Linked DNA regions of Nothobranchius furzeri. The protein of the gene in region 1 purifies or fractionates together with the protein of each later gene. This does not show direct contact. Links are inferred from orthologs where the notes say so. Each region holds a gene or a part of one and is shown in the gene's direction. Other genes may lie near its edges.

Region 1 (7,907 bases):
TTATAAACATTACCAGTGGATGTAATCATCCCTTCATGTTTTAAAGGCACAGCCTACATCCATGGCATGAAGCATGCCACTGGGAACTTCATCATCATCATGGATGCAGATCTTTCCCATCACGTGAGTCGATGCACGAGTGTATTTGATGTATAAAATATCTTAGAAACAAGACATCTTTTGAGTATCTTGTCTGGAAAAACACAAATGGCTAGTAAAGTCCAATTGAGTATTTATTTATTTATTTATTTTGTTGCACTGCTGTGTATTTTATTCGTCTTTATTTTATTTCAGCCCAAGTTTATTCCTGAATTTATTGAGTAAGTATAATTGTTTTTTATGTTATGAGTTGGTGCGTTTATAAAGACTCGCAACATTTCTGATTATCAGGGTAACTTTCATCCATGTGTGACGAGTCGGATTATTCTAGCATGTTTTAGGTAAAGTATCGTATTTCATTCACAGAAAGCAGAAGGAAGGTGGTTATGACCTTGTGTCTGGTACTCGCTATCAGGGCAATGGAGGTGTCTACGGCTGGGACCTGCGCAGGAAACTCATCAGGTAACGGCCAGTGAGCAGAACTTGGTCACCAGTGTCCGCTCTCCTACGCTCGATGAAAACGAGATTTGTTTTTCTCTCCTGTGTCTTAGTCGAGGTGCTAACTTTTTGACTCAGGTTTTGTTGAGACCCGGCGCTTCGGACCTCACGGGCAGCTTCAGGTAACTGATGCAAGAGGTTTGAATCGTCATTGACTAGAAAACTGAACCGTTTCCTCACTTTTGTGCTTTTTTCCCTACGCTTTTGGAAGGTTATACAAGAAAAATGTGCTGGAGAGTCTGGTGGAGCGGTGTGTGTCTAAAGGTTACGTGTTCCAGATGGAGATGATCGTCCGAGCCAGACAGCTCAACTACACAATTGGAGAGGTGTTGACCTACCACGCTGTTGGGTTCTTTGAATATTTGTACTTTGTATGAGTTCTTCTCAACGTTTCCGCTGAAATTAAACTAAGGTTTATTTTCTCCTCGTCGTTCGCAGGTTCCTATTTCCTTTGTGGATCGGGTTTATGGAGAGTCAAAACTGGGAGGGAATGAGATCGTGTCATTTGTGAGAGGACTGCTCACACTCTTCGCCACGACGTGATCAGCGATGTTCAGAGCTTCTGGGAGCTTTTTTTTTTCCTCGTTCCACAAGTTTGTCTTTAAAACAGAAGTTTCACCAAATTAAAAACAAGAGAGAGACGTTCACCACTTTCTGTAATCATACGGTGACAGGACAACACAGGAGAAGGAAGGTGTTAGCAGTTAAAACTGTGGAAGATGTTCTTTTCTGTAGTTTTCAGAATGCTGAAGAAATGGTGATTCCCAAGTCTTGTCAATCCCATCGCAGAATGTTTCTGGAATTCTTTATTATTACAGTTTGCAAATGCATAAAAATAAACACGTTTTAATTGTAGACTCTTGTTTGTTTATTTTTAATTGATCCAATGGAAATTGTATGCGAATTTAAATGAACTCTTGACTTAAGAAACAGAAACCTGAGACTGATCACACCTGCCATATCCAAAAATTAGAAATTGACTCCATTTATATACTTGTAAGACTTTTAATGTCGGCATACATCAAATACCCAAAAATATCACGGACATGTCTGGATTATCCAGGAAGAAACACTTAAAGGATCTAAGATCTTTGGGAATCCACGTCTGCTATTAAAGGAAACATGCTAAAAGCTGTAGTTTAGAACATAATCTGGGTTTTTGTGTGAGAAGATGTCTGTATTTTTCATTTAATTGGAAACAAACCCTAGACACTTGTATTAAAACATTTTAGAAGAAAAAGTTCATCAGTAACCATCAAATAAGAGGTTTTATAATAACTAGAAATGCAGAGTCCGGTCCCACCTTACAGGAAAGTAGTCCCGGCTGAATGGATGGAGGTATCACAGCGCCACCTAGTGTTGGCCCGGCCTCCAGCTGCGTGCTGAGGCACTGTGCACATCCGAGCCTCCGCAGGGGAGGAGCTACCAGGACGCCCGCTACCGGACCGTAAACGTAACTGCTGCGCCTGGTTGTTTACCCCCGCAGAGAGAGACAGGAAATCAATACCGTCCACAAACTTTAAGACAACGGAGGCATTTATTATTTTAAGCAGATGTTTGCCTAAATGTTCGAACTGATTGGCAAACCAATCATGAGAGCGAGGACCTGGTCTTATTATTTATGCTAATGAGGAATATGTCACTTCCGCTTCTTTGATTTGCGCCATTTTGGATAGGGCAGCTGGTTGGCTGGATGTGTATTGTCTGTCGGGAGAGAACGGGTAAAAAGGAACCCGCTGTTAGAGAATTACGATCAGAGTTGAATTAATTAATTCACCAGAGTGTAAAGTACGTCGGTAGTTGACATGTGTCTACCTTCACCGCTCCAGGAAACGGAGGTTTTAATCGCCCGCCGAAGCTCTCTCTTTCCGTTCTCCGACCACGGGAAAGCGGATAGCCCTCGTCGCTGAGGGGCTGTCGGGCTGGGAAGGTAGACCGACGGCCCGGGTGACTTCTCCCCCACAAAGCACCTGGGAGGGAATTACCGACATATCCGTGCAAGCGGGAGCGTGAATACTCGACCTCGGTCATCCTGAGGTGACACATTTAATTCAGACGGGAGCACTGGATGTAAAAGCAGGTAAACCTGGATGTCCTAATGCCGGGGAGAGTCCACAGATGGTGGCCGCTTGCCGCTGCCTACCTGCGGGACGGGATGGGTGGTGGTGGCTAGTGTTAGTGTGTCGGGGTGGTAAACAAGTTTCATTCTTAAATTAAACGCATCGTGATGTTATTGAAGAACCAAGAGAAAATGCGACAGCTTTCGTTTCAACCCATGTTGTTGGGTGTTAGCTTAGCATGTTAGCTCAGCGCGGCACCACCATCCCTCCTTTGTCAGTTGCAGCAGCTTTTTGCTTTTAACTATCTGGATTCTGTCAGCTGTCTTGGATATTTAACTCATCACGAACACCACGGATGGTCCACAGTTTGTTCTGTTCGTTGCTACAGCGACCGATCTGTCCTGTGGTTATTATGGGATTGTAGGAGAGTGACCACATTAGTGTAAACAGTTTGGTTTTGAACCCGATTGTGAGGAAGTGTTTATGAGGGAGTCCTGGTTGTCTGTGATTAGACAGGTGAGTTCAGGTGTGTGCCTCTAAAGGGGAGCAGTGCTGCCATGGTCACCCTCAGACATCCTGTCACCTTTAATACCGTTTACAGGTGTTGAGCCGTGTGGTGAAACCTCATCAGAGGCATTTAAGACTATTATTCTTCTATTAAAGCGAACATGGATGTCACAAGAAGTGTGACCTCTTAGTAAACGTGGAGGAATGGTAAACATGAGGGTTGAGAACATTGGTTATCACATCCTGTTGGATTATTCGGCAGCATTTAAAGATTTCAAGGCCTCTTTTCTTTCTCTTTAGCACCACTGCAGAATGGGAAACATGTTCTCTGCCAGCAGCCATCGCCACAGCAGAGCAGCCTCTTCCTGCATTTCCTCCCAGTCCTCTTCCTTCTCTCCCTCCTTTCCCTCCTACTCAGCCTCTCCCTGGCTATCTATTCTCCCCTCCCCTGCTCTGCATCGCCCTCTCTTTCTCTCACCCTCTTCCATTTTCTGTCCCTCCAGCCTCCCAGTCCTCCCTTCCCCTCTCCTCTCTGTGTGCCTGACCTCCCTGCCTCCCCCCCCCTCCCCTTACCTCCCTGGCTCACCCCCCCCCCCCCATCTCTCCCCTTGCACTCCTTCTACACTTACCCGCTCACTCCCCCTTCTCTTCCTCCATGCACACTCCCCCCCCCATGATTTCTTTCTCTCACTCCTTCTCTCCCTCCTCTTCCTCTCCCTTCCAACATCACTCTCTCCTCCACTCCCCTCCCCCTCTGCTGCAGACATATTGTAGGGGCTGCTGCTTACTCAATAGGAGGCGCCATTCTGTGATGGTGTTGCAAGGCTGGGAGAAAAGGGGCCAGGCAGAACGTAGGGAGGCTTACATAATGGGAGTCCTCTGCTGCACCATCTACAAGAAAGGGAGGGAAGCAGGAGAAAGGCAGGTAGGGGAGAGGTGGGTCGTTGACTTTTAGGATGCAGGTGGGTCAGCCAGGCAGGTGATGGACCCACAAAAGCATCTATATCTCATTTCCTCAGATTCCTCAAGGGGTAACGAGCTGAGATGTTAACAGGAATTGTTGGAAATGTAGATTGTTGTCCTAGTGTACCAGTGACCTTTGACCTTCCTGCATGAAGCTTTGATTTGAACAGAGCTTGTTTCTTGAGCAATAGAACTAAAACATTTAGCTGAGTCTGGCAAATTTAACAATCTCATTTATACAGATGTTAAAGCATCCTAGAGTTGATCTTGTTGAACATTGGGAGCTAGGGGGATCGGATGCACCATTCCTAAAGTCTGTGCCGTCTCCGACCTGCTTTTTATGTAACGATCAATAGTCATAGACAAACCAACTGAAACTTGCATGTCCCAACCCACCTCAACGTCAGCAGTTTACAAATGTTGGTAGTTAGAATGCTAACCACACAACAACACTAGCCCGAACTACTGCTAACATCCTTGTTGAACGTGAGGAAGACATCCAGGCGTAACGTTCTAGGGTGGACTGGGGTTATCCAGACTACCCCTGAATGCTTATAGAATTATCCATATGATGTAGCATCATTGAGACATCAAGGTCAACTGACCAATCAGTGCTCTGCTTGGTCTTCCTGTTGTAGGGCTTCATTAAGGGGGTGTGGCTGGTCATTTATCAGGGCTCTTGGGTCATTGTGAGCCCCAACAAAGTTTCATTTAAAATGGTTTGTTTGGCTGTTGGCCTGTTCCAGCAGAACTCATAAAAGACGTTGATTCCATTGATTGGATCAGCTGTTGTTGGACTTGAACTTTCTGGTCCGTACCAATTTTTTTTTCTCTTAGTAGGAACAAAAGTCAGTCATCACGGTTGAGATTTAATGTACAACAAATACTTTACATTAGGGCTGCACGATATTAGGAAAACCTGCGATATTCGATAACCGTGCTTAATATTGCGATATCGATATTACTCACGATAAATGAACAAATACTAAAGTATGCAGTGCTGATGTCGTCTGGCGTGTGACGTCTGCTCTGGGTTCAAAGCAAACAAAAACTAATGCATGAATTCCATTACAACATAACATTTTTATTGCAAAACTATGCAGCTGCACCTGCTGCTGTATTAGCAGCTGCACCCGCTACTGTATTAGCAGCTGCACCCGCTACTGTATTAGCAGCTGCACCTGCTACTGTATTAGCAGCTGCAGCTGCTACTGTATTAGCAGCTGCACCCGCTACTGTATTAGCAGCTGCACCCGCTACTGTATTAGCAGCTGCACCCGCTACTGTATTAGCAGCTGCACCCGCTACTGTATTAGCAGCTGCACCCGCTACTGTATTAGCAGCTGCACCCGCTACTGTATTAGCAGCTGCACCAGCTACTGTATTAGCAGCTGCACCCGCTACTGTATTAGCAGCTGCACCCGCTACTGTATTAGCAGCTGCACCCGCTACTGTATTAGCAGCTGCACCAGCTACTGTATTAGCAGCTGCACCCGCTACTGTATTAGCAGCTGCACCCGCTACTGTATTAGCAGCTGCACCAGCTACTGTATTAGCAGCTGCACCCGCTACTGTATTAGCAGCTGCACCTGCTACTGTATTAGCAGCTGCACCCGCTACTGTATAAGCAGCTGCACCCGCTACTGTATTAGCAGCTGCACCCGCTACTGTATTAGCAGCTGCACCCGCTACTGTATAAGCAGCTGCACCCGCTACTGTATAAGCAGCTGCACCCGCTACTGTATTAGCAGCTGCACCCGCTACTGTATTAGCAGCTGCACCCGCTACTGTATTAGCAGCTGCACCAGCTACTGTATTAGCAGCAAAACAACAAACTGCATGCATGCAGTTTCTCAGTGACTTTAAAACATCACCTCCACTATAAAACTTTTTCTGATGCTCCAAATACAGAAAAACGTTCCTTACCAGGGTTTTTGGAATAAATAAAGATATTAGAAAATAAGTTTAAATGTTAAATAATAGTTAACATCACTTAAATGCAACAGCAAATTCTCTCATTGCTACTGAGCATTTTCTCCACTTATGTGGTTATGATATAAGGCTGTTGCTGTAATTGGGAAGTGAACTGTGCTGGGCCAAACTAGGAGAATATTAAGATTTTCTGAGGGAAAGAGAAAAACAATTGTCTACCTTTCAGAAGAGGAACTGGCAAGAATCTACATGGAAAATATTTGAAAACGTTTGTTTTTAACCCCAAATTGAACAAGTTTACCTAGATCTTAAAAAGCAGTGAAGTGTAGCGCCAGTGCCCTATACACTGGCACTACCTGGTAGCTGTTGCGGGTGGTCTTTACGTGTGCTTTAAGCTAAAAGCAGCCCTGATGATGAAACTGCAACTATGATTCTGATAACAAGCTAACAAACTGAGCTAGCTCCTCTAAGATAACCGGCTAGCAGAGCTTCTGACTGACAGTTTATGTGCAGCAGCAAATCAACTATCCTGATTAACAAGGTTATAAAAGCTCATAAATGAAAAATCACTTTGATGTGTGGGGGAACTTTTCCAGGCCCTCTTTAGCAGGGTGGGACTGGGAGGAGAGTGCTGTAGCCTTTTAGCTGGAAGCTAACCGGAGCCTGGGGCTAACATCACCACCCGGTGGAACACTAGCGACGTGAAGGTGGGTTGGTTCACCGGCACGTGTCGGAGTCAGCCCGGTTATTATCAGCTGCTTAACGACACCGAGCGAACTCACGTTCACGTTTGAAAGCAGCGCTGATTCCAGAAACCTCAGCACAAAGTGCGTTTGTTAATCTGAGCCAGCATGACGAACAAGGGAACGGCGCCTCTAACTCAGTTCGGGTGTTGCTTTCCATCCTAAGGTCTACGTAGGGGGTGGGCGTATTACGTAAACGGACCTATCTGATTGGCCGCATATCAGAAGGGCTCCATTTGATTGGTCAAATAATAATTCAGCGTAAAAAAACAGAGCTGGTTTACAAAAAGGTGATGTATGACACGGATGGAAATGTTGAACCAAACATTTATCGCCATTTTTGACGTGCTTTGCGATGGGCCTATCGCACGTCCTGTTATTCCGATGACGATAATTTTTCGATATTTGTGCAGCCCTACTGAACATGTTGTACTTTTGAGAATGTCTCTGCTCCCTCTAGTCAGTCTGTGAAGTTGTTGGCATTATTAGATTTTTTTATCCAAATGAAATCTAAATCTGTTGGGCAAACGCTGTTTCTAAGTGCACATGTCTCGGCTAGAGAGGTCCGGTGGTGGAGATGGAGAAGTGTGCCGTCCAGGTAGGATGTGGGGCACGGTGCAAAAGCTTGGTCAGGGGAAAGCCCGTGTTTTGTTTTCAACTGGTTGGAAATGATGGATAAAGCTGCTGACACCACTGGTTTGGCATTTATCAATACTGATTGTTTTTCATTGTAGTGACGGTGGCGTGTAAGGCCACACACGGGTCAGCAGAAAATAGTGGACCAGCAGCAGTTATGGGATGCTGAGAGTTCAGAGCGGCATTAATAAGCTGTGGTTTTTCTGTTTTCACAAAGCAACGCTTCTATTTAATCAAAGTTTTTTTTACCAAAGTGTCCTTGTGACCAAAAGATCAAAAGGTGAAGATCGTCTTTGGTAATCTCGTGTGAAAAGGCCTTTTCTGCTAAAGCGACCCTTGTCACTAAGGTGAAAATGATGAGTTTATAATTATGGGTTATTTTTTCAAAACAAACCTTTCTGAATCTGAATGCTAAAAGCAAGCTCAGCTGAGTAGCTGGTTGTGGGTCTGAAAGACCTTTTGTTCAGAC
Region 2 (7,447 bases), on another chromosome or scaffold:
TAAAAACTGCTATTTTTAGCACATTTTAGGTCAGACGTGTTGCTACCAGAAGCACAATGTGAACTAAAACTGAGTGTTACAGATGAAAAAGTGGCACAGAGTCCGCAGAATATATAGCGGACCTCCGAGTCCGCTTGCAGAAGTGACTTTTACATGTGTAAACACCTTACGACGTGAAAAATGGTCCCACACCTTTGACATATTCTGTCTTTTTCGCACTCCACCGGGGTCCACGTCGTCCGCCATGGCTTAAGAGAAAGTTAAGTTACATTTGCATGTGCATTCAGTGCAGTGTGTATGTGCGTCACTTATTTCAGTCCGAGTGAAACATGACCCCGGGCGATTGCAAAGCCATGAATTAAACATGAGTTAAACGAAGCCTCGAGGCAGAGAATTTGATTCGAGGCTTTTTTGTTCTCGAATTATTCGAGGTACTCGAGGAATCGTTTCAGCCCTAGATGCGAGCATTGTACCGATCTGTCATGGTGAAAAGAGAGCTAAGCCGGAAGGCAAAGCTCTTGATTTACTGGTGGATCTACGTTTCAACCCTCACTTATGGTCATGAGCTTTGGGTAGTGGCTGAATGAATGAGATCCCAGATACAATCAGCCAAAATGAGTTTTCTCCGCAGGGTGTCTAGGCTCTCCCTTAGAGGTCATCTGGGAGGGGCTTGAAGTAGGTCTGCTGCTCCTTCACATTTAGAGAGGCCAGTTTAGGTGCGCGCGCTCTGTCTTCTCGATCCCCAGTGAGTCGTGGAGGATGGCTGCTTATACTGAGCCAGGATCCTCTGGAGGTTTCTTCCTGTTAAAAGGGAGTTTTCCTCTCCACTGTCGCTGCATGCTTGCTTAGTATGAGGATTGCTGTAAAGAGTCTGACACTAGTCAGTGACTCGATGCAACCTGCTGGGTTCCTTATGAAGGAAACTTTTTACTGGTTGGCTTAATGAACTGGCCTGTATTGAAATGTTTACTGTGTGAAGGTCCTTGAGACGACTCTTGTCGTGGTTTGGCGCTTTATAAATAAACTGAATTGAATTGAGTGGCTGGGCTCTCCCTTAGAGATAGGGTGAGAAGCTCGGTCATCCATCGGCTCGGAGTAGACCCGCTGCTCCTCCACATCGAGAGGAGCCAGCTGAGGTGGCTTGAGCATCTGGTCAGGATGCCTCCTGGACGCCTCCCTGGTGAGGTTTTCCAGGCACGTCCAACTGGGAGGAGGCCTAAAGGTAGACCCAGGACGCGGTGGAGGGACTATGTCTCTCACCTAGCCAGGGAACGCCTTGGGATTCTCCCAGAAGAGCTGGTCCAAGTAGCTGCGGAGAGGGAAGTCTGGGCCTCTTGACTTGCACTGCTGCCCCCATGACCCAACTCTGGGTAAGCGGTAGAAAATGGATGTATGGATGGATGGATATAAATAAGTCGTTACTAAGAGGTGGTGGTTGGAATGTAGATCAACTTAATCAACCCTCTCTTTAAAATAAGCAAATTAAACATCCAGCAACCCAGTCCTGGGTGACAGAATTTGCTTTACAAACTATTAGAATAAATGCATGATTAAAAACTAGTTACCCAATAAATAGTAGGTCTTCAACCAAGAGTATGACTTAACAAGCAAGTCAACCCTAAATCAACCTTTTTTGCCAACAAATGTTATAGTTGAGTGTCTAATAGTGCTGTAGTAGATGTGTAATTGTTTTTGCATTTTAGTACATCTTATTTAAAAGTTAAAAGGCACCCTATTCAGGTTGAAACGGCACACTTCATGTAATTTGAAACAGCCATTGCTATTGGCTAGGTCAGGGTTCTCAACCCTGGTCCTCAGTGCCCCCTGTCATGCCTGTTTACAATGTCCATTCTTCAAGCACACCTGTTTTACAGCTTGGTACCAGTAGCCTTGGGAAACTCATGAGCCATATGTTCAAAACGATATGGCTCAGGGTCACTCATCTCTTCATAAAGCCTCCCTCTGGTGACTGCTTTGAGGCAAAGGAGCTAGTGTCCCTATCAGTTTCTAGGAAGTGCTGCCTTTATTTCGTCTGAGTCATGTGTATTTGTGTGTGTTAGCTCTACTTGTGAGGTGTGTGTGTGTGTGTGTGTGTGTGTGTGTGTGTGTGTGTGTGTGTGTGTGTGTGTGTGTGCGTTAGCATCTCCATCTAAGCAGATTGAATGTTTGTGCGTGCTTATTAGTGGTTCCGTTCTCCAATGCAGTTTCACTGAGCATGGAGTGAGCGTAGCAGTCCTCGTCACTCACTGTCGCAATTCTGCCCTCCTGGTACACCAGGAAACACCTCCTTGTGGTGCATTTTTCAAACAGGCAGTGTGGGTGCAGTAAGACTATGGTAGGGGGGTGACTTGCTCTTTAATGAGATGTTCTTTGGTTCTTGATGGCCGAATCATTACTGGTAGATCAAGCCAGACTTGTCTATGGTCACCAGGAAGGTGCTCCACCTGTAAGAGGTATCCCAACATTCTACAATGGGGATTGGATATAAAGCTGTTCAATATTTGGTGTTGTTATTTTTAACAGTTTAGCTGATTTTAAGACCTTTATCCTCATTTTTGTAACTGAACCAAGCACAGAACAAGTATTAATAACATGGCTGTGAGGTGGTATTCATGACAAGTATACACTGTAATTTTGTGTGTGTGTGTGTGTGTGTGTGTGTGTGTGTGTGTGTGTGTGTGTGTGTGTGTGTTTGTTCTTTCCTCCAGCACTACAGCTAGAGTCAGATTCGGAGACTGTGACTGACCTCCACACTTGTCCGCTCTGTGGGGATGCGTTCGATAACAGGACGGGGCAGTCTAACCATATAAGAGGTCATCTGAAAAAGCTTGGGAAAAATTTTGCTTCAAAGAGCAAATCCCCAATCATTTTACTGCATGAGTTGATGCGAGACAAAAAGGAATTTCAACAAGCCCTTCAGATTCTGGGAAGAAGACGAAACCATTTTCATTATGGTGCTTCACCAAAGCTGCCCATCACTAATCGCTTCACCTCTTCTCAGACCAGATTCCCCAAAAGTCATTCCATCCCAAGTGTTCTCACGGACACCAAACCACTGATGCCCACATTTACTTTATCTGACATTAAGTCTGAAAATGGGCAGTTGGAGAAGATGGGTGTTAAAAATTCTCTCTCAGGCACAACTGCCTTAATAGGGATTCTGAAAAAAAGGAAGTGTCAAGAAGACGCCAGACTAAAAGGATCAACTCCGATCTCAAGAAATGAGTCAACGGTTTCTTCAAATAGTGAGCACAGTTCAGGATCACTGCCAAACTCTCCATCTGGTAAGCAACGTCCTCAGAAAGGTAAAAGGCAGAATTCCTTCAAAGGAATTCCCTGATGTTGTCGACGTTATTTTCTAACAGAAGCTATGTTCTTACACTTATTTGATTCTCTTGAATCACACAGGTAAGGTTTGGAACATTTAGCGTTGACTTTATTTTTATGCACTGCCAATTCATTATTAAATATTTCAATACATCACATCAACTTTAATGATAATTTAGCAATTTTTTAATTTTGTTGTTTTAGACGAGCTCATTTTCAATGCAGGTTTTGAAATTACGTCAACACAACATTTTTATATCAAACATCAGTTAATTGGCTTCGTGCAACGATATGTCTATGATTGTATAGTGATTAAAGTAATTGCTGTGGTAAAATTTGAGAAGATTGCACAAAAACTGTCATTGCAGATTTAAGTTTTTGCACAGACACTCATCAACGATAGATGAATGGTCGAACTCCTGAACGTTTTTTGCAGTTCAGAGATATGTAGACTGGCTTCAGCTATGCTCAGATCTTAGTCATGTCCTAAGATCAATGTAATGTACTTAGGAAAATGTTATTACATTTTGTGTCTTTTTTTGCAGAAAAGGGTGAATTCAACAGGAAGATGTGCATTCATTGCAATGCAACTTTCCACAGCGGAGTTGCCCTCTCCAATCACCTCCGGGCATATGCAAAAAGAAAAAGGATCGCCTTACAAGAGGGAACCAGTAAGTATTGTCACCAACACTAGTAGGCCTTTCTACTGTAAGGGTGTAGCCTTTAACACGTCAGCCAAGCAACAAACAGGCCACCAGCCGAGCTGTTGGTGTTTCTGTGGCCATGGATGGAAACCATGGTGTGCTGCGTTGAAATTCCTAGCTCGGAGCGGGTCTAAACACGTCATTAACTCTACGTTATCGCGTATTTTGTGCCCAAAGGCTTTTTACCTAGATGAAAAATCCACTCTGCAATTATTGCAAGTTACCCTGTTGTTATGCTTTCGTGTAAAGTATAACCAAACTTTCGAGCATTTGTGCCGCGTAGACGCCATGTTTCCTGCTTCCGTAAGCTACGCAACGTGCACGGTGATGTCATTCGCGCAGACTGGAATTGATAAGGGGCACGTTTGCAAAAGTGCCGAACGATTCCTAGGAATTGAAACGATAGGAACCGGTTTTCAACAAGAACCAGTTTTTATTCCCAACCCTAGTTAGCACCAGCTAGCTGTTAGCCTCAGCTAGCTACAGCTTTGTTGCAAGAGAGAAAAACACTACTCACCACGAAGGTTTCAGGATATACTTGAAAAATCCAGAGTACAAATAAATGCCAGATAGATCCACAGTCTATGTTAAAATACAAACAGTTGTATGTTATTTATCGTGATATTTATCAAATATGGTTATATATTGAGAAAATATATATTTAATTATAAAAGAGAATTAAAATAAAACACTCACAAGTATCTAAAATTGGCACCGTTAAGTACCGGTATCGATTCCTGGGTACCGGGAGTTAGTACAGAATCCATTCAAATGTCAAAGGTACCCATCCCTAGTCAACAGTGAACAGACCCGTCAGCATTGCAACTTTTTCCACTTTAATAAATAATATTTGTCTTCTGTGTGCTCCGCTTGTCTGCTGTCCTGGGTCGGGAGTCTCCAGATGGGAAAATGTCAACAGGAACACACCAGCTGTTTTATTCTGGAAGATAATTTATTACATTAATCCAACAAAACGGCTCGTTACAGACTTCTCTTCTCAGCTCCTTTAGCTTTCAATCCAGAACAAGCAGAATGAAACAAGCCCCACCCCCAACTCCCATTTCTCCCTTTTCATCCCAACACCATCGTAACTGTGGCGGCGACCCATGAGCCATTAGATTAGCCTCTGTGACTCGTTAAACCCAGCAATGATGCTGGTCACAATATTGCCACTTTGGCCCTAAAGGGTTCATTTTTACAGTCTTTCTCAGTAGACCTGTCCGTTATATGCCTGTACGTTTATAACGTACTATTTTATTTATTTATATTATAAAGGCTGTGGTTCCTAGTTTTCACTTTTCTCTCCTCCAAACCCTTCTACTGTAGGCTTGAGTCAACACACACACACACACACACACACACACTGGTAGAGTGGGGGAAAGCAGGTCTTATTACGCCTGTTTTGTCTATTTTTAGGGACATTTTAAGCTCCGACTAAATGTTCTATGCAAATAGAGGCTCAAAGATCAGTTTCTACTAGGGCTGGGCGAAAAATCGATAAAATGAATTAATTCGAATTTTTTGTTGCGGGCGATTCATAAAGTAGGTAAATCGAGTTTTTGTAATGGCGCCTTTTTGGCCCTCCGGAGGTCCCGTAGCATCAGGTTCCCCACCCACGAGCGAGCAAAAACACACAAAACAACAGACAGCAAGCGACCACATGGCGACCGGTGATGGCGGTGAGAGTGGGAAGTTTGTTCCGAAGAAGGGGATAAAATCATCTGTTGTTTGGAACTGGTATGGGTTTGCTGCAACAGACATAAAACAAGAGACCCCATGCTGCAACCTTTGTCTAAAACCCGTTGCAATCAAAGGCAGCAGCAGCACCACTAACTTGTTTCAACACCTAAAACAGAGGCATCAAGCCAAACACGAAAAATGCCAGTCTCTCCGAGACGAACAAAGCCGCAGTGACCAAGAACCAGCGGCTAAAAAATTGCTAACTGTAGCCAAATCGTTCGCACAGGGGACCGCATATGACAAGAAAGGGGCCCGGTGGACTACAATCACCGACACGGTTGCTTTGTATACAGCAAAAGACATGGTACCCATATATACCATGGAGAAGACGGAGTTTATAAATTTGATGAAAACATTGGATCCCAGGTATGAGCTACCCAGCTGAAAGTATTTCAGTGAAGTAGTCTTGCCGCAGCTGTACAGAAACACACGCAAAAAAGTTGGCAGAGAACTGGAGGAGCTGTCCTTTTTTTGGCAACAAGCGACATGTGGAGCAGTTGAACTATGCAGCCGTGTATGAGTTTAACGGTGCATTTCATTAACAATGCGTGGGATTTACATAGTTTTTCCCTCCAAACGTCATACTTTCCTGAGGACCACACCAGTGAACTTATCGCCAAAGGACTGAGAGACGCTCTTGACTGCTGGAACCTGTCTGAGAAAAATCGGACAAAATCGGAAATCGAATTCAAGCAAATAAAATCGGTTATTTTATTTTTTGGCCATATCGCCCAGCTCTAGTTTCTACATTTAAATTAACGCCATTTTTCTGCCCCTTTAACCTCCACAATACATTTATTGCTGTACTATGTTAGAACGTTGGTAAGAGGCATGAAAAAGGGTTGAAGTTGCTGTTGTAGCTTTAAGTATTTACACTAAACACTTCCATAGGACTCTATAGAAGTAAAACATACATGTAGAAATGTGGCGTTCACAGGCAGATTAAGGCTGTTGACCAAAACATTAAATCTTTTATGTTCGTATTTTATTAATAAGTGAGTCCTAAAAGGTCTATTTTAGGGCTGAAATGAATAATCAAAAAATGTCATGACTACAACATCTCAGGTCATTTCAAGTCATTCAGAATGGCTCTACTTACATGTTGGTGCGTTTACATGTGCACCAGAAAAGCACATTGTTGCCCTAAATCAGGTTTTTCTTACATCCATGTAAACGCGTTAGTCTGGTTCAAGGCGAACTGGCTCTAATCGTGCTGAAAAACCCAGATGGCGTGGTAGGAACCAGACTTCTTCTGCGTGTAAACGGCTCCGGCGAGCTGATCCCGGTGACTTCCAGAAGTGACGAGATCGAGGAAGCGGTCTTCTGATAACACCTTGTGGCGACGATATTAGGTCCAGTCCGGTCTGCACCACATCAGCTGTGCTGCTTCAACCATGGTGCATATCCTGTTTTAACTCCATCTGCTTCGCTCCCACCAGCGTTTGTTGGCGCTAACTTTGAGAGGCTGGTTTTCTACTGTACATGTAAACTAGGACGAAGGCTCCTGGTTTATAACTTTAGATCGATTTTGAACGCACTGAGACTTCGTCTCTGACATCTCTCTGATGGACAGATGTATGAGATCTGGTGACTGATGGCAGCTGTGTATACAGACGTATGTGCTGAGAATCATCTCGTATGTTCATGTAAATGGTTAACATGACAAGTTAACTAAC
Region 3 (7,878 bases), on another chromosome or scaffold:
AGCCTTTTGGCGACGACGAAGAGCGGGATCTGAGTCGTGATGAGCTGCGAGCCCGTGCCCTGTGCATCCCGTTCTCTGTCCTGCAGATTGTCAACATGCCTGTGGAGGAGTTCATGGAGGTTCTGGACAGCCACGGACTCTCCCCTGAGCAGGTGACTCTGCTGAGGGACATCCGCCGGCGGGGGAAGAACAAACTGGCAGCTCAGAACTGCCGCAAAAGGAAATTAGATGCCATCACCGGTCTTCAGGAGGAGGTGGACATGTTGCAGGCTCGGAGGGAACGACTGCTGAGAGAGAAACAGCTTACAGCTAAGACCATGGGGGCTGTGGGCCAACAGATAAAGCAGTTGACCAGAGATGTTCTGGCTCGGCTCAGGGATGGGTCAGGACAGCCCCTGAGCCCAGACAGATTTACCCTGCAGTGTGGCGCTAACGGGAGGTTTGTGGTTCAGCCCATCAGACGTCCAGCCGTCTCCACATCAGCAGGCAACAAAACAAACAAGAGGAAAAAAGGGAAGAAGCAGTGATGTTTCGTTTCCTGCTGAGACTTGAGCTTTTAGAGGCTTTTTTTGATATTCCCGAACTTGACTGACTCTGGGTTTGGGGTTCTTTTTTTGTAGGTGGTGTGTGTGTGTGTGTGTGTGTGTGTGCGTGCGTGCGTGCGTGCGTGCGTGTGTGTGCGTGCGTGCGTGTGTGTGTGTGCGTGCGTGCGTGCGTGTGTGTGTGCGTGCGTGTTTATTCACCACTGCCATAAGCCTTCACTATCAGAAGCTGCAAAAACAAAACAACACTCTGAACACAAATGAATAATTCGATAGAATATCTGTAAATATTGAGACATTAGTAGTGGGCACACTGGACTTTGTGTTTATTAAAGCTGGCAGCAGAACCAGCCCCTCTCTGGGCCGGGCCTGATAACGTAAAACTATCACCTTTACTGGGTATGGGTCCGAGGGGTTTTGTGTGTAAATTTGCCTTTTTAAGTCTTTTGAGGAGAACTAGGAAGTTGAAGATTATATTTATTCTGGTTTGAAAGGTTTTTGAAGTGTTTTCATTTTGACGAAGACTGTTTCCTTCTCTTTTTTTTTCAAAATGGAAAAGTAAAATTTAAGTAAATCTAATGTTTACAGGGGCGTTTAAGGTAACTGTGTGTAATGTTATTTATTTAGGCTAAAACTGGAAAAAATAATAAAGATTTGTCTTTCTCATAGTTGCCAGGGGTGACATGCCAAATACCAATGATTACAATGAAGAGGCTTTATTTTGTAACGTTGTATTTGGTTCGAAAATAATCCACACACGAATGCTTTAAGACACTATTGATGCAGATTTTAATAACAAATAGATGGTTTTGACTTAAATCCTTCATAGTTCGAGTTTCAGCATGCTATGCTCAGAAATCAGTTTTTGATGATGTTCAGCTAAAAATGAACCAAAGCGGTGGTCCCAGCTTTGTTGAATGTTGTTTTATATGCAGCGTGCTTCTGTAAGGTTTGCTGAGTTAAATAGAACAATTCTAAAACGGTCTCACGCAACTTCTTTTGTTTGATTTCCAGTTTACAGGGATGACTTTCTGTGATTTTTGGCTCCAGTTTCATCTAAAATGGATTTTCTTTCTCAGTGAGATTGTGTGAGGTATTCTAATCAGTTTTTTTCTTGTTTATAATTGTTTTATAATCTCTTTACTCCTAAAATACACCCAAAATGATACATAAGGTTGTATCTATGTTACAAAGACCCATTCTGGAAAACATAATTTCTCACTTTTCCCATAAAGATGCTTCTAAATGGCACAAAAAGGCAAACTTTACTCATCTGCTGACCCTTTTGTGCTTTACTTAAGTCAGCTGATCTGACATGAATCCCCTCACATCTACTAAAGCACAACCTCACCTAAAAATAACTTTAGAACAGAAGAAATCCCCTGTCATGCAAAATATGTTATCCACTCGCTACACAAACAAGAATGATTGTTGTCTGTTTATATGTTTGGGATTATTAGAGAATGCAATATGACAGGCTGAGTGTTTGATTACACTAGGGCAGGGGTGTCCAATCCTGGTCCTCGAGGGCCGTTATCCAGCACGTTTTTCGTTTTAACCTGCTTCAGCACACCTGATTTCAATCAGCAGGTGATTAACAGGCTTCTGCAGAGCCTGATGAGCTGCTGCACAGGTGATTCAACCAGCTAATCAAGCATTTTGAAGCAGAAAAACCACAAAACCTGCTGGTTACTGGCTCTCCAGGACCAGGATTGGACTCCCCTGCACTAGGGAGTGTATAAACTTAATTGTGATCCAAAGATCATGTTTTCTCTTTGTCCTGGTTTAAACGTTTATTTGTGTGCATTTCACTTTCATACATCTTGTTTTTTCATGCATGAGTCACATTTGTCTGTCTGTTTGCGGTGATTATTGAAAAGATAAATCTGATTGAAGAATACTTGATTTCTTTATTAAAAACATTTAAATAATGTCTTGTTTTGTCTGGCTAACAGGTTATATATACCATTACTGTTATGGTGCTGCGTGCTGGTGAGCATATCAACATTATTTTCCTCACCTGAGCTGAACACCTGTGTTGACCGGCATCATTTCAGGACAGAAGGCAGACAGATTTATTAAAATATGGCTGTAAAGCATATTTAACAAATACTCGTTCAAAATCACAAGCCAGTCATTTACGGTATTCAGTAGAAAGTAAAAGAAATTGTTTCACTCAGTCTGAGAACAATCTAAACAACTTGAGACATCAGGTGCTCAATTTAATCTGAATTCAGCATTAGCATTATGACTTTGGGGTCAATTTGTTAAATTTTTCATTTTTGAACAATCTGAAAAAGAAAATGATTGCTAGTGTTTATGCTTTATTCCTTCCACTACTTTATAGTTTAAAACATATATAAACGTTTTCATTTACTACCAACGTGTCTCAGATTGCGTTAACTAGCGGCTTGAAGCCTTGGTTCATGAAAAGGGCCCTTCTGGAACACATGGGTCAGCTCGGCTGCAGACGAATCGCTTTTCCTTCTGGGCTTCCGTAGCCACAACTAGTTTTTGGCGCCGCCTTCGTTGTGGGATCGACTTCATCCGAGCGGCGTGGTGCTGAACAACTATAGAAATCCGCGCGCTTTGGGTGAGTGTGCGGAGTTCTTCTCTTTTAAAACAATGTTGAGTATTTCTTTAATTACATCAGGCTACTCTGAGCGTGTTAAAACGCCACCTATACGTTGCTGGTTTTTTGACAAACAGCAGTTTAGTTGTTGACCCAGCAGCGTTAGCATCGCCATTGTTTAGCTATTACTGTAATATGTTAAGCTAGCTGAAAGTAAGGCAAGTAAGGTGTTGTTTTGTGGGGATGTGTTGTAGTTTTACCACAGTTTTTATTTTATCTTTTACAATTCTACTAATTCTGTTGCTCAAATAAAATCCGCAGATGAGACTGTTTAAAATCAAGGAAATTTTAGGTAAGGGGTCAGCGTGTTAGCAACCTTTGTTACGTTTAGCTGCTAAATGCTGAGCTAACTAGCAGGTGGGCCAAATTAGAGTAATGTCCTATGTTAGCGTTGGCTGAGTTATTTGTAGCCTAGCATCCGGGTGGATTTAAGGCCTTCCGAATAAATGCGGCTCGTCTTTTTATCTTTAAAAAGCAAAATGGGCAAGAAACAGAATACAAAGCCTAAGAAGGAGACCGAGACCCAGGAGGAGCCTGAAGAATTTGTTGTGGAGAAAGTGTTGGACCAGCGGATCGTCAACGGGAAAGTAGAGTTCTACCTGAAGTGGAAAGGCTTCACAGAGTGAGTTACCCGGGACAATGTCCTGCTCTCTCCGCCTCTAACGCACCGTGGCTGCATGAAGCCTCCCAGCTTTTCCCTTTTAACACGTTTGGGATGTTTTTGGTTTGAACGCTAACCTGTTTTTTTTTTTTTTTTTTTTGCTCCCTCAGAGCGGACAACACCTGGGAACCCGAGGATAACCTGGACTGCCCCGAGCTCATTCAGGCCTTTCTGGATTCCCAGAAGAATATAAAGGAGAAGCCGGCTGCAGTGAAGAGGAAGGCCTCCACAGATGATGCAGAAGAGGAACCCAAGAAGAAAGATGTGGTTAGATTATACGTTTTTTATGTCTCTGACCTGCTAGCATGATTCCCTGTAGGTTGTGCAATCAGAATATGGTTTATAACCTGTTTTTGTTTTTATTTGACAGCCTGATAAGCCTCGCGGCTTTGCCAGGAACCTGGAGCCAGAGCGAATCATTGGTGCCACAGACAGCAGCGGGGAGCTGATGTTCTTGATGAAGTGGTGAGTTAGGCAGACTTTACACCCAATTTCAACAAGAGTAGTTTCACATTTACCTCGGTTGCTTTGCATGGCCATTAGTGTTTTTTTAGGGAGTCGAACTAAAAGCGGAAAAGGTTTATTACAAACATGTAGAGTATTTAGAAATAAAATCACTTGAATATATATAATTTATTTCTTTGATTTTTAAATAGGCTTTTCTAAGATCTGCTGTTTTATTTTAGTTTTTATTTATTTTTTTGTCCCCCAGGAAAGAGTCAGATGAAGCAGACTTGGTCCCTGCTCGTGAGGCCAACACGCGCTGCCCTCAGGTGGTCATATCCTTCTATGAGGAGCGGCTGACGTGGCATTCCTGTCCAGAGGATGAGGCTCAGTAGCCTTTGCCTGGATTCTGCACACCTTTATGTTTTAGGTTTTTATTGTGTTCTCTGTTCTGCTTTTTTTTTTCTTCTTTAGCTACTTTAGCTGATTTGAGACAAAATCATTTGTATGGCAGTTGGGGTATTGTAGATTAAAAGTTTGTCAAAGCAGGTGACTGGGTTGGATATAAGATTAGTCAAAAAGCGATAATGTCAGTCCACATTCCAATTTGTTTATTTTTTTTACTTGAGTCTATGTCAACCTTTTTGAGTTCAGTTAAATGTTTTGTTCCTTGATGCAAGTGCCGACGTGTTTGAAATGAACGCTTTGTTTACAGTTTGTAAATATAAAGTTCAAATAAAGGTTTTATGTGGCCTAGTTTTACCCTCTTCATTTGTAGTTTAGGACAAATGCATACAGAAAAAAGAAAACCTAAATGTTGCTTTATTAAAAGTGTCACAGCCAGCTGAGTGGTTCTGTCAGGGTATCAATCCTTGGCCTACATCAGAATGTTATTTTGGCAGCAGCATTCTGATCTCCTTAGAGGAACAGTGGTGAGATATTTATCCAAGGAGGACCATGAATGTCCACACCTGTCTGGAGCTCTATCAGCTGCTCATTCTGTTCTGCACTTGGTGTAAATGAGGCTTCAGTCTGCTGGTTCTCAGTAATGGATAATGGTTGGTTTCTTCTATAACCACTTGTAAAGACACATTATGGAGTTTATTTTAAAAGTAACTGGTCACATGTTAACAGCTATTTGCCTGTCGGAGATGTTAAACTTCCAAAAAAGCCTGGAACAGCTGGCAGGAAGTGTTGATGAATGGAAACATTTAAAGGAGACTAAAATCAGTCCAACCATAGTTTTACCTGTCATTTGATCATTGCATCTCACCTAATGATGCTCACACTAAAAAGGTAGAGATCGAAGACTTGGCTTTATCACCTGTAGTAGACTCATGGATGGTGACGTAACCTAAAACTTCATATTTATGTCCAACCGTGTGGTGATTGGTAATTCAAATCTGAATTCAGGTGTCTATATTGGTGGTTTTTATTGAACGAATGGGGGATAAAGTTGCATTGACGTTTCTGACTAAACAACATCCAGTTTCACCCCTCTGGCCTTTACCTACTGATAAAGTAACACAAGATAGGAGACGTCAGCGTAAAGGAGCAGTTATTAGCTGATTTACTTAAAATCTCATCACACCACTTGTGTTCAGATGGGCTCCTGGGCTGGACAGAAATAAACTTTGCTTAGGTAAGATGACTTTCACTTGTTTGTATCTGGGGTCCAGGCTGCAGCATGTTGTTTACAGGAATTTATCATTAATGGCTGACGTCTTGTACAAGCTGAGATCAGAAAATTAAAGTTTCTTTGATTTGACTAACAACAAAAACTTCTGTGTTAAAATGATCAATATTTTCTGTGCTGACGCTGGATGTAAAGATCCCCTTTTAACTAGTGTTCTCTATAAGATTCCACATAAACCCTCATGCTTGGCTCAGGATAAGATAAGAACAACTTTATTTATCCCGAGGGAAATTCTTGTGTCATGTACATGCTCAAAGCAGTCGGAGACAAAGGAACAGGTGAAACAGAAATATGATATACAATATATACATTAAAAAAATGATCTACAGTAGTACCATGTAGGATAGTGCAAAACAAACAATCGCATATCTCAATTAAATACATGACTGCATCCTTGTGAATAAGCAATTAAGCCGTTGGTGCAGGCGATTCACAAAAGTGATTATTGTGATCCTCCCATAAAACAACTTTATTAATTACCATTTTAAATTCTAATGAGGTTGTGTGTGTGTGTGTGTGTGTATATATATATATATACATACATATATCATCATTGTCGTCTTCCTCCGCTCATCCGGGTCGCGGGGACAGCATCCCAACTAGGGAGTTCCAGACTGTCCTCTCCCCAGCCACCTCCACCAGCTCCTCCGGCAGGACCCCAAGGCGTTCCCGGACCAGATTGGAGATGTAACCTCTCCAACGTGTCCTGGGTCAACCCGGGGGCCTCCTGCCGGCAGGACATGCCCGAAACACCTCCCCAGGGAGGCGTCCAGGAGGCATCCTGACCAGATGCCCAAACCACCTCAACTGACTCCTTTCGATCCGGAGGAGCAGCGGTTCTACTCCGAGTCCCTCCCAAATGTCCGAGCTCCTCACCCTATCTCTAAGGCTGAGCCCGGCCACCCTACAGAGGAAACTCATTTCGGCCGCTTGTATCCGCGATCTCGTTCTTTCGGTCATTACCCAAAGCTCATGACCATAGATGAGGACTGGGACGTAGATCAACCGGTAAATCGAGAGACTGGCTTTCTGGCTCAGCTCCCTCTTCACCATGACAAACCGGCTCAGCGTCCGCATCACTGCAGACGCCGAACCAATCCGCCTGTTGATCTCCAAATCCCTCCTACCCTCACTCGTGAATAAGACCCCGAGATTCTTAAACTCCTCCACTTGAGGTAGAACCTCTCCCGACCCGGAGTTGGCAAGCCACCCTTTCCCGGTCGAGAACCAGGTCTCAGATTTGGAGGTGCTGATCCTCATCCCAGCCGCTTCACACTCAGCCGCGAACCTACCCAGCAAGAGCTGAAGGTCAGAGCTGGATGAAGCTAGGAGGACCACATCATCCGCAAAAAGCAGAGACGAGATTCTCCTGCCACCAAGCTCGACACACTCCACACCACGGCTGCGCCTAGAAATTCTGTCCATAAAGGTAATGAACAGAACCGTTAACAAAGGGCAGCCCTGGCGGAGTCCAACCCTCACCGGGAACAGGTCTGACTTACTACCGGCTATGCGGACCAAACTCACGCTCCTCTGGTAAAGGGACTGAATGGCCCTTAACAACAGGCCACCCACCCCATACTCCTGGAGCGTCCCCCACTGGGTGCCTCTGGGGACACGGTCATAAGCCTTCTCCAAATCCACAAAACACATGTGGATTGGTTGGGCAAACTCCCGTGCCCCCTCCATCACCCTTGCAAGGGTATAGAGCTGGTCCACAGTTCCACGGCCAGGACGAAAACCAAATTGCTCCTCCTCAATCTGAGATTCAACTATCGATCGGACCCTCCTCTCCAGTACCTTGGAGTAGACCTTTCCAGGGAGGTTGAGGAGTGTGATCCCCCCTATAGTTGGAACACACCCTCAGGTCACCCTTCTTAAAGATGGGGACCACCACCCCGGT
Region 4 (7,967 bases), on another chromosome or scaffold:
CAGTGTGAAGCCTCCGGCTTCGCCCCCCTCTCCCTGGAGCTGAGCTGGGAGTTTAAAGGTGCTGATGGGAAGAGCAGATCCCTGGGAACAGGCAGCATGTCGGGCCACAAGCAGGCCTGGGACGGCACCTTCAGCCAGAGCTCCCGGCTGGAGCTGGACACGTCCAGACTGGACCTGGGACGCGGAGGGGAGGTCACCTGTGTGGCTGTCCATCCGGGAGGAACACGGCGGGCCAGCGTGAGCCTCAACATCATCGGTAATCTGGGAGTAACGGAAAATATCTTAGATTAACATGGAAATTTTGGTTTTTGAGGGTCTGAAAATAAAAGGGAAAAAGTAAAATTTTTTACAATCGTTTCCTAAAAAGTCAGATATGTTATTCAGGGATTAAATGATTACAGCAGAATCAGTTTTGATGTCTGAATGAATCAGGAAACGAAAGTAATTTAGGCGTTAATCTGTTCCCCTCAGGGTTCAGCTCTCCCTCCATTGAGGACTCTATGGCGATGGTGGGCGTGGCTCTGGTTCTCTACGGACTCATCAAGTTTGTGTCCTGGACCCTTACTGGATCAGGTGGGAATAATATAGATTATTAAATACAGGAATTTAATCCCTTAAGGCTGCAAAAATCATCTTTTAGCTCTTTAAATCCAGTTTTTGTATTTTTGCCTGACTTTTGTGTCCTTTTTTATTATTTAGGCTCAGATAAAACAGATGGACAGGACAAGGTAAGGAGCGTCGGGTTTGAAACTAAAACATCTTCACTTTTTGTTTTAATGTTTATAACTTTTCCCTCTTTTTCCTCACAGAAGCAGAAATAAAGTTAACAGAAGACGACTGGATTTAAGTTTTCCGTGACTTCTCTGCAGCTTTTCAGCTTAAAGCTCGGATAAATATTCTGTTCCTTCAGCCAGCGTGGTGATGAGTCTAAACGTGGATCAGCTGGATTTTTCACTGTTTTGTGTTGCAGATGAATCCGGGAGAATTCCCTGGAATTATCCTGTTTTATGTAAATACCGACGTGACGGTTTCACGTTAAAAGTGACAAAGCTCTTTTATAAATAAAATTATCTTTTATTTAATGATTTTGTTACAAATTGAAAAAACTTCTTAGAAGCTTTTATTAAAGAGCAAGTCACCCCCTACCAGAGCATTGCTCCACTCCCACTTCCTGTTTGAAAAATGCAACAAATGCTGTTGCCTAGCAGACCGAGAGGGCGGAGCCACTAATAAAATACACACACAGGCTCACAATGACATTGTGACATCATATGGTACCAGCTAACATTCTTGGGTACCTCTTAGCCAATAGTGATGGCAGATTTAAATTCAAATGCAGTGCAGAGTTTTTACCTGACAACGGCACAACACTGACGGTTTTAGGCAGAAAATTAAAATTTGAACTAAAATGCACTAAAGTGCAAATTTATTGACTACACGTGTCTGCAGCATGATTAGACACGCATTTATATAGTTTATCAGGGGAAAAAAGTTGATTTGGGGGTGACTTGCTCTTTAAGTTTAAAATAATGTAGTTTTTAATATCATTTTCATTTTAAACATGTTAAAACGATTTAATTATTATTTTTGTTCTGAACTTAATACCAGAAAAAAATATTTATTTGGACAAGAAATCTCAATTTATTGGAGACAGTAAAATTAATTTAAAATTCTCCATAACTTCTAATGAAATGTGACTTTTGTAAGTCTGAAAAGTCTTTTGTGTATAATTCTGCATAGTTATGAGTCAGGGGTTGTGTTGGTGGAAACTTCACTAAAATAAAGACTTTTATGGGGAACAAGCATCTAATTCTGATCTTTGTGAAGAAAAAAAATCCATTTTAGTAGCAATTCACATAGATAGAAGATATGAAATTTGTTTTTTTCAATATGATAAACTTGTGGGATTAGGAATGATCCAATAGGCATATTTGTGATAAATTAGTATTTATGTTAATTATAGGAATTGTGATTGTAGTTTTAATTTTATGTAAATAACTTTAAGTGAGTTTAGAAATTTAAAACACCAATTTAGTTCATCTGATTAAAGATGTTTTACCTCAATAAAACCTTCTAGGAGATGAATTGTGCCAACTAGAAAAGTAAATTCAATAACAAACAAGTACCATTAGAATTAATGGCGCCACTGATATTTAATAATATAAACCAACACTTCTGGAATATTTCAACAAATTAAAAAGCAGTGTAGCCTTTAAAAACACATAAATTAGTTTGTTGTGCATCTCCTGCAGAATTGTTTAAACAGCAGCTGCCTTGTGTCAGAGCCTGACTAGAATGTTTGCATAAATTTAAGGAAGTTTTGCACAAGCTGACACAAATATGTTTGTAGCTGAAAATAAACACCACAGACATTTCAGTTGAGACATTCAGGACTAAAACATTTAATGAGAAAGATGTAATTAAAATTCTGCAGGAAATTCTGCATGAAAAGCAAGTTTTGGTCTCTGTTGTCATCTGCTTTATAATTTGTAGAAATATTCCACTTAAACGCTTGCATTTATTTTAACTTGTAGAAATTCGGCGTGGAAAACAAACTTCTTGGAGACCTCTATCGTCATACATGTTTCCAGCAGGTGGCGGTAAAAAAAAAGTTAACCAGAAAATAAACCAGAGAAAAAGACACATTCCTTTTGTCCAATGACAGAAGGCTTTACTCATCCCAACGTGTCTTTTGACCAACCAGAGTCAACTACGTGCGTCGGAGTTTAGCGGGTCGCGAGTTAACAATTTAGCTAAGTCTAGAAGCTTTTTGTGAGTAAACAGGAAGCCTCATTGGGTTAAAACTAGAATTAAACAATAGTTTATTTTGTTTATTATCCAAAACAAACAGACTAAGACCAATTTTCGTGTTAACCATAAAAATAAACATGATTACTTGTTGCTAATGCTAACATCAGCTAACCAGCTGCGTTGTAACCCGCAAATGTTCTTTATTTTCTCATCGAACTGCTCTTAAACAAGAGGTAAGTGTTTTTGGTATTTGTGGTCAACTGTCTGTAGCTCTTATCTATTTTAACACAAGATCAGAATTATCTCAGGTTTACTGGCGTTTCAGTTTCGTTTCTGTCCTTTAAAGCTAATAATTTCGCGGGAATGTAAGTTAACGTGTTTAACAACATGTGCTTTGATGTTTTAGTTAACAGCGACAGTGTTTTACTATTAAAGCAAAGCACAGAAAAATGTTGTTATTAAAAGCTAATTCTCGTTTCCTAAGAGGTCCTTAATTAGAAATGTTTGTTTCTACTAAAATAATCCCAAATAATCCAATACTTTATAATAAATTATTCTTTAAAGCATTTATGTATTATGATTGGGTTAGGGTGATTATGTTTTAACATCTACATTTAGGCTAAATATGACATCAACATTATTTCTACACACAAACGTTTGAAATCTTTGGAATGTCTAATTTTATTTTAATGTTTTCAAAATGCCTGAGAGTGAAACTGAAATGGACATAATCTACTTTTATGAGACATACAAGTATTTTGTTTTGATGTAATGTTTATGAATATTTAAATCACTACTGTAAGATGCTGGGAAGTTAGAGATACATTAATTGAATTATGACTAAATATAAATATTATTATTAATAATCATAGGGAAAGGGTGGCTTGCCAACTCCGGGTCGGGGGAGAGGTCCTACCTCAAGTGGAGGAGTTTAAGTATCTCGGGGTCTTGTTCACGAGTGAGGGTAGGAGGGATCGGGAGATCGACAGGCGGATTGGTTCGGCATCTGCAGTGATGCGGACGCTGAGCCGATCTGTCGTGGTGAAGAGGGAGCTGAGCCAGAAAGCCAGGCTCTCGATTTACCGGTCGATCTACGTCCCAATCCTCACCTATGGTCATGAGCTTTGGGTAATGACCGAAAGAACGAGATCACGGATACAAGCGGCCGAAATGAGTTTCCTCCGTAGGGTGGCCGGGCTCAGCCTTAGAGATAGGGTGAGGAGCTCGGACATTCGGGAGGGACTCGGAGTAGAACCGCTGCTCCTCCGGATCGAAAGGAGCCAGCTGAGGTGGCTTGGGCATCTGGTCAGGATGTCTCCTGGACGCCTCCCTGGGGAGGTGTTTCAGGCACGTCCTGCTGGCAGGAGACCCCCGGGTCGACCCAGGACACGTTGGAGAGTTTACATCTCTAATCTGGTCCGGGAACGCCTTGGGGTCCTGCCAGAGGAGCTGGTGGAGGCGGCTGGAGAGAGGACGGTCTGGAGCTCCCTAGTTGGGATGCTGCCCTCGCGACCCGGATAAGCGGAGGAAGACGACAACAAATAATCGTTATTTTACTGAATTAAAAACCTTGTAAAAGTTCTGAGATGTTTTATCTGCTCTTTAGTCTGAAGTCTGTTTATAAACCAAAAAACCTTCAGCAAACCTTATTTACACAATTACATAAATATATTTTATTTATCTGTTTATAAATAATTTGAACATTTTCTGAGTCAGAGCTGACAAATCCAGTCTTCTGATCAACACGAGTGAAGTAGATCCTCTATATGTGGCTTGTTGTGAGATGCTGCAGCTGTTGTTGTTGTTTACGTTTTCACTCACATCCCAGAATGCAATGCAAGTCTGATAACAGGAGGGTGTGGGCCTCAAAGCTGCAACCTTTTGAGGCCACCTCCTTCATCGGGTCTCAGAACTACACTTTTGTTTTGCACCCTAAAGAGAGCTGCACCAAGCAAGGAAGCGGACCAGCGTTGAATATAAACAGCCGAAACGTCACACGTTCTCTTAAATATGCTAAAAGGGTTTAAATCACCAGAGATATTAACAAACGACCTCCATACAACTCTAGAGGTTTACAGAGAACTCTGTCACTTCCTAACCGTTATCGATGATAAACTCGCCGCTCTGCTGATCTCCTTCATCTCGTTTGGGTTTTATAAACAGAAACAAGCTGAACTTGGGATGGCGGTGGCTCCTGCCTCATTGGCAGATCAGATCATTGTGCTTGAAGATGATGAACCTGCGTGTTCCTCTGCCACCTCCTCCTCCTCCAAGCGACAAACCAGTAACGTCTCTCCAGCCCGCCGTCAGCAGCAGGCTCCCACACACATCGTCCACTCTCCTTTTGCTTCCAACAGGAAGAGCGTAAACGCTCTGCAGGCAGAGAACCAGAAGCTGTTCAGTGTGGTGAGTTTATATATATATATATATATATATATATATATATATATATATATATGTATATATATATATATATATATATATATATATATATATATATATGTATATATATATATATATATGTATATAGTTTTATTCTCTAACAAAACCAGATTCACCAAACGCTTCATCAGGTTCCTTTCTGCCTTTTCTCCAGTTTTTGGAGCACTGCACGTCTCTCACTAAGGACTGCCCAGAGGTCTTAACCTTCCTCCAGACCAAGCACGCCAAGGCCAGCGCTGAGTTCCTGTCCTCCGTGGAGTTCAGGAACACGCTGGGACGATGTCTGACCCGCGCTCAGGCCAACAGCTCCAAAACATTCGTCTACATTAATGAACTGTGCACCGTGCTCAAGCAGCACAGCGTCAAGAAGAGGCCGGCCCTCAGCCAGGCGGAGCCTTCTGCATCGACGTCGGGTGCCACCCGGTCTGCTCCCGATTCACTCCAGAGTAAAACTAAAGTGGAGGAGGAGGAGGAGGGGAAACCAGCCGCAGAACGAGCCTCGACGTCAGGAGGTCAGGAGGTCAAGGAGGAGAGTGAAGAAGCGCAGCGGAAGGCTAAGAGAGCGTTAAGGAAACAGGTGAGTGTTTATCTCTGAAGGCTTTAATCCTGCTTGTTTGAACTTTTTCTCACTTATTTGCAGTAAAATGAGCCGAAAAGCTGATTTCCTTTCAGCAGAACCCCCCCCCCTTATGGTTTTACTCGCTCTGATTTCCAGATCGCACACCTGGAGAACCTGCTGAAGTCGTACAACGATGAGATCAGCCGGCTGCAGCAGGCCGAGCTGACTTTAGACGACATGGAGACGGAAGACTCCACGTACATCCAGGAGCACAAACTCAAGCGGAAGGTCGGCTGAGCGGCAGATTAAACCCGGAACGTTGCATCTCCGGTGGGACGACGGGTGACTTTTTTTTTTTTAACGTCTGTTTCCAGATGATGAAGATTTACGAGAAGCTGTGTGAGCTGAAGGGCTGCAACACGCTGACGGGGCGAGTGATCGAGCAGAAGATCAAGTTCAACACGACTCGCTTCCCTGAGATCAACCGGAAGGTGAGTTCTTCTCTTTCGGTGTCATTCCAGCGGGTGGATTAGCGTTTACGTAGGATGTGTTCCTGCTTCCTGTCAGATCGAGCGCTTCATCAACAGTCCCGAGGCTCGTAGCAACCCTCCGGATTATCACGACATCCGGCAGCTGGTGGTGCGCGTCAACGAGCGCCACAACCTGTGTTTGAACCGGAAACAGGTGAGTCAGATCGCCCAGGAGGCCTTCAGGGACACGGGCAGCCTCCTGCAGGAGCGGAGACACCTCGACCTCGTCTACAACTTCGGCTCGCGTCTCACCGACGCCTACAAGCCCGGTGAGGCTCCAGCTCCGCGTTCACGCTGAATACTTTCATTCATTCATCCATGTTTGTGCCTAATCCTCTCATCTCTCCTCCTCCGGTGGAAGCTGACGACCCGGCTCTGTCCGACCTGTCTCTGCTGAAGAAGCTACGGTCCAACAGGGAAGTGGCTTTGTCTCGTCTGGATGATGTCATCAAAAAGTACGCCGTGAAACAGGACGACACAGAGGAGCAGGAGAGAATCCGGAGACTGGAGAAAAACGGGAAAGAGAAAGAGGTGAAGGAAAAATCCCGGCGCATCAGCGAGGCGGAATGTTCCCTTCCTGCTGGTCCGGAATGCTGTTTTATATACCTTTTTATCCGAGGATAAAACAGGAAGCATCAAAACAGTTCCAGGAGTTAACATCTGCGCTCCGACTCTACTTCTTTTACTTCCATGATCAGAAACCAGAAGAAGGAAAACAGACGAGTCAGGCGAACGGCGTGGAGGAGGAGGAGGAGGACGAGGAGGAGGATGAATCATCAGACCCTGACATAGAGGAGGAGATCCAGGCCAGCACTCAGCAGGCTGCCGCAGGTCAGATTAAATCTGGGATTAAAACTGTTTGTGAGATTTCTCAGATTTGATGTAAACTCGACTCGGTTCCTGTCATGGATTTATCAATGTGTGTGTGTGTGTGTGTGTGTGTGTGTGTGTGTGTGTGTGTGTGTGTGTGTGTGAGTTCTGGACGAGTGGGCATGCAGAGAGGCACAGAGCGATACATTTACATTCAGTTGGTTGAGTCCATGATCAAGAATTAATAGACATGAATTTTTCCATAACAGTTCCAAACGGGAGATTATAATCTGCTGACCCGTGGAGAGGTCACGACCCGGTGTCGTTAATCCAGATTAGCTCGGTTTAAAGATTAAATCATCAAAATTAGAAGTTCTGACACCAGTAAGAAGCTCCAGTCCAACCAGCACAAACTGGTTTGTTTTTATTTTAATCTTAACTTTACTGATGTTTCCTTTAGATGACGATGAGGAGGAGGAAGAGGAGGAGAATGCTAACGAGGCAGGTCAGTCATGCGAGGACGACAAGGAGGATCAGACGTACGAGCAGACAGGAAGTGCTCCAGCAGGCGGCGATGGAAGCCCGAGGGCTGAGATGGAGCCGCTCACCAGCGAAAGTCCCGTCTCTGAGGAAACACAGATGTCCAGCGTCCCGTCTCCCAGAGACAGCCCCGGCCAATCAGAGCTCGTTCAGTCGGACACTCGGCAGACGTTGTCCAACGGGACAACAGCAAACTTAAAGAAGCTCGCCGCGTCGAATCAGCTGTCGGTGGTGATCATAAAAGAAAACCAGGTGAATAATAAGAAGTTGGCCGTCCCAGCAGCCGTTAACGGGGATCCTTCACCTGAGCGAGGAACACCGAAGACCAGCGAGTC

Evidence for each region.
Region 2: the proteins of adnpb (region 1) and znf644a purify together in Homo sapiens (affinity purification with mass spectrometry; 3 studies listed by BioGRID and IntAct, with this or other methods). This does not show direct contact. The link is inferred for Nothobranchius furzeri from reciprocal best matches to the Homo sapiens genes ADNP and ZNF644.
Region 3: the proteins of adnpb (region 1) and cbx3a purify together in Homo sapiens (affinity purification with mass spectrometry; 7 studies listed by BioGRID and IntAct, with this or other methods). This does not show direct contact. The link is inferred for Nothobranchius furzeri from reciprocal best matches to the Homo sapiens genes ADNP and CBX3.
Region 4: the proteins of adnpb (region 1) and daxx purify together in Homo sapiens (affinity purification with mass spectrometry; 4 studies listed by BioGRID and IntAct, with this or other methods). This does not show direct contact. The link is inferred for Nothobranchius furzeri from reciprocal best matches to the Homo sapiens genes ADNP and DAXX.

The regions. Positions count from the first base shown.
Region 1 is NC_091755.1:48,126,162-48,134,068, reverse strand, and holds the start of adnpb (activity-dependent neuroprotector homeobox b), read left to right. Parts: upstream 1-2,470; 5' UTR 2,471-2,677; intron 2,678-7,654; exon of another isoform or gene 7,655-7,785; intron 7,786-7,907. Other genes in the region: dpm1 (dolichol-phosphate mannosyltransferase subunit 1), read left to right, coding at 47-123, 295-320, 466-561, 651-719, 809-923, 1,036-1,140.
Region 2 is NC_091751.1:71,505,748-71,513,194, reverse strand, and holds part of znf644a (zinc finger protein 644a), read left to right. Parts: intron 1-2,708; coding exon 2,709-3,284; intron 3,285-3,872; coding exon 3,873-3,998; intron 3,999-7,447.
Region 3 is NC_091751.1:29,400,080-29,407,957, forward strand, and holds cbx3a (chromobox protein homolog 3a), read left to right. Parts: upstream 1-2,986; 5' UTR 2,987-3,135; intron 3,136-3,148; exon of another isoform or gene 3,149-3,466; intron 3,467-3,649; 5' UTR 3,650-3,653; coding exon 3,654-3,796; intron 3,797-3,945; coding exon 3,946-4,102; intron 4,103-4,205; coding exon 4,206-4,300; intron 4,301-4,547; coding exon 4,548-4,674; 3' UTR 4,675-5,035; downstream 5,036-7,878. Other genes in the region: nfe2l3 (nuclear factor erythroid 2-related factor 3), read left to right, coding at 1-527.
Region 4 is NC_091759.1:22,796,051-22,804,017, forward strand, and holds the start of daxx (death domain-associated protein 6), read left to right. Parts: upstream 1-2,844; 5' UTR 2,845-2,984; intron 2,985-4,914; 5' UTR 4,915-4,932; coding exon 4,933-5,157; intron 5,158-5,347; coding exon 5,348-5,770; intron 5,771-5,908; coding exon 5,909-6,040; intron 6,041-6,126; coding exon 6,127-6,243; intron 6,244-6,319; coding exon 6,320-6,551; intron 6,552-6,643; coding exon 6,644-6,813; intron 6,814-6,980; coding exon 6,981-7,113; intron 7,114-7,552; coding exon 7,553-7,967. Other genes in the region: tapbp.1 (TAP binding protein (tapasin), tandem duplicate 1), read left to right, coding at 1-256, 472-573, 700-728, 810-821. UniProt on the Homo sapiens protein: Transcription corepressor known to repress transcriptional potential of several sumoylated transcription factors. Down-regulates basal and activated transcription.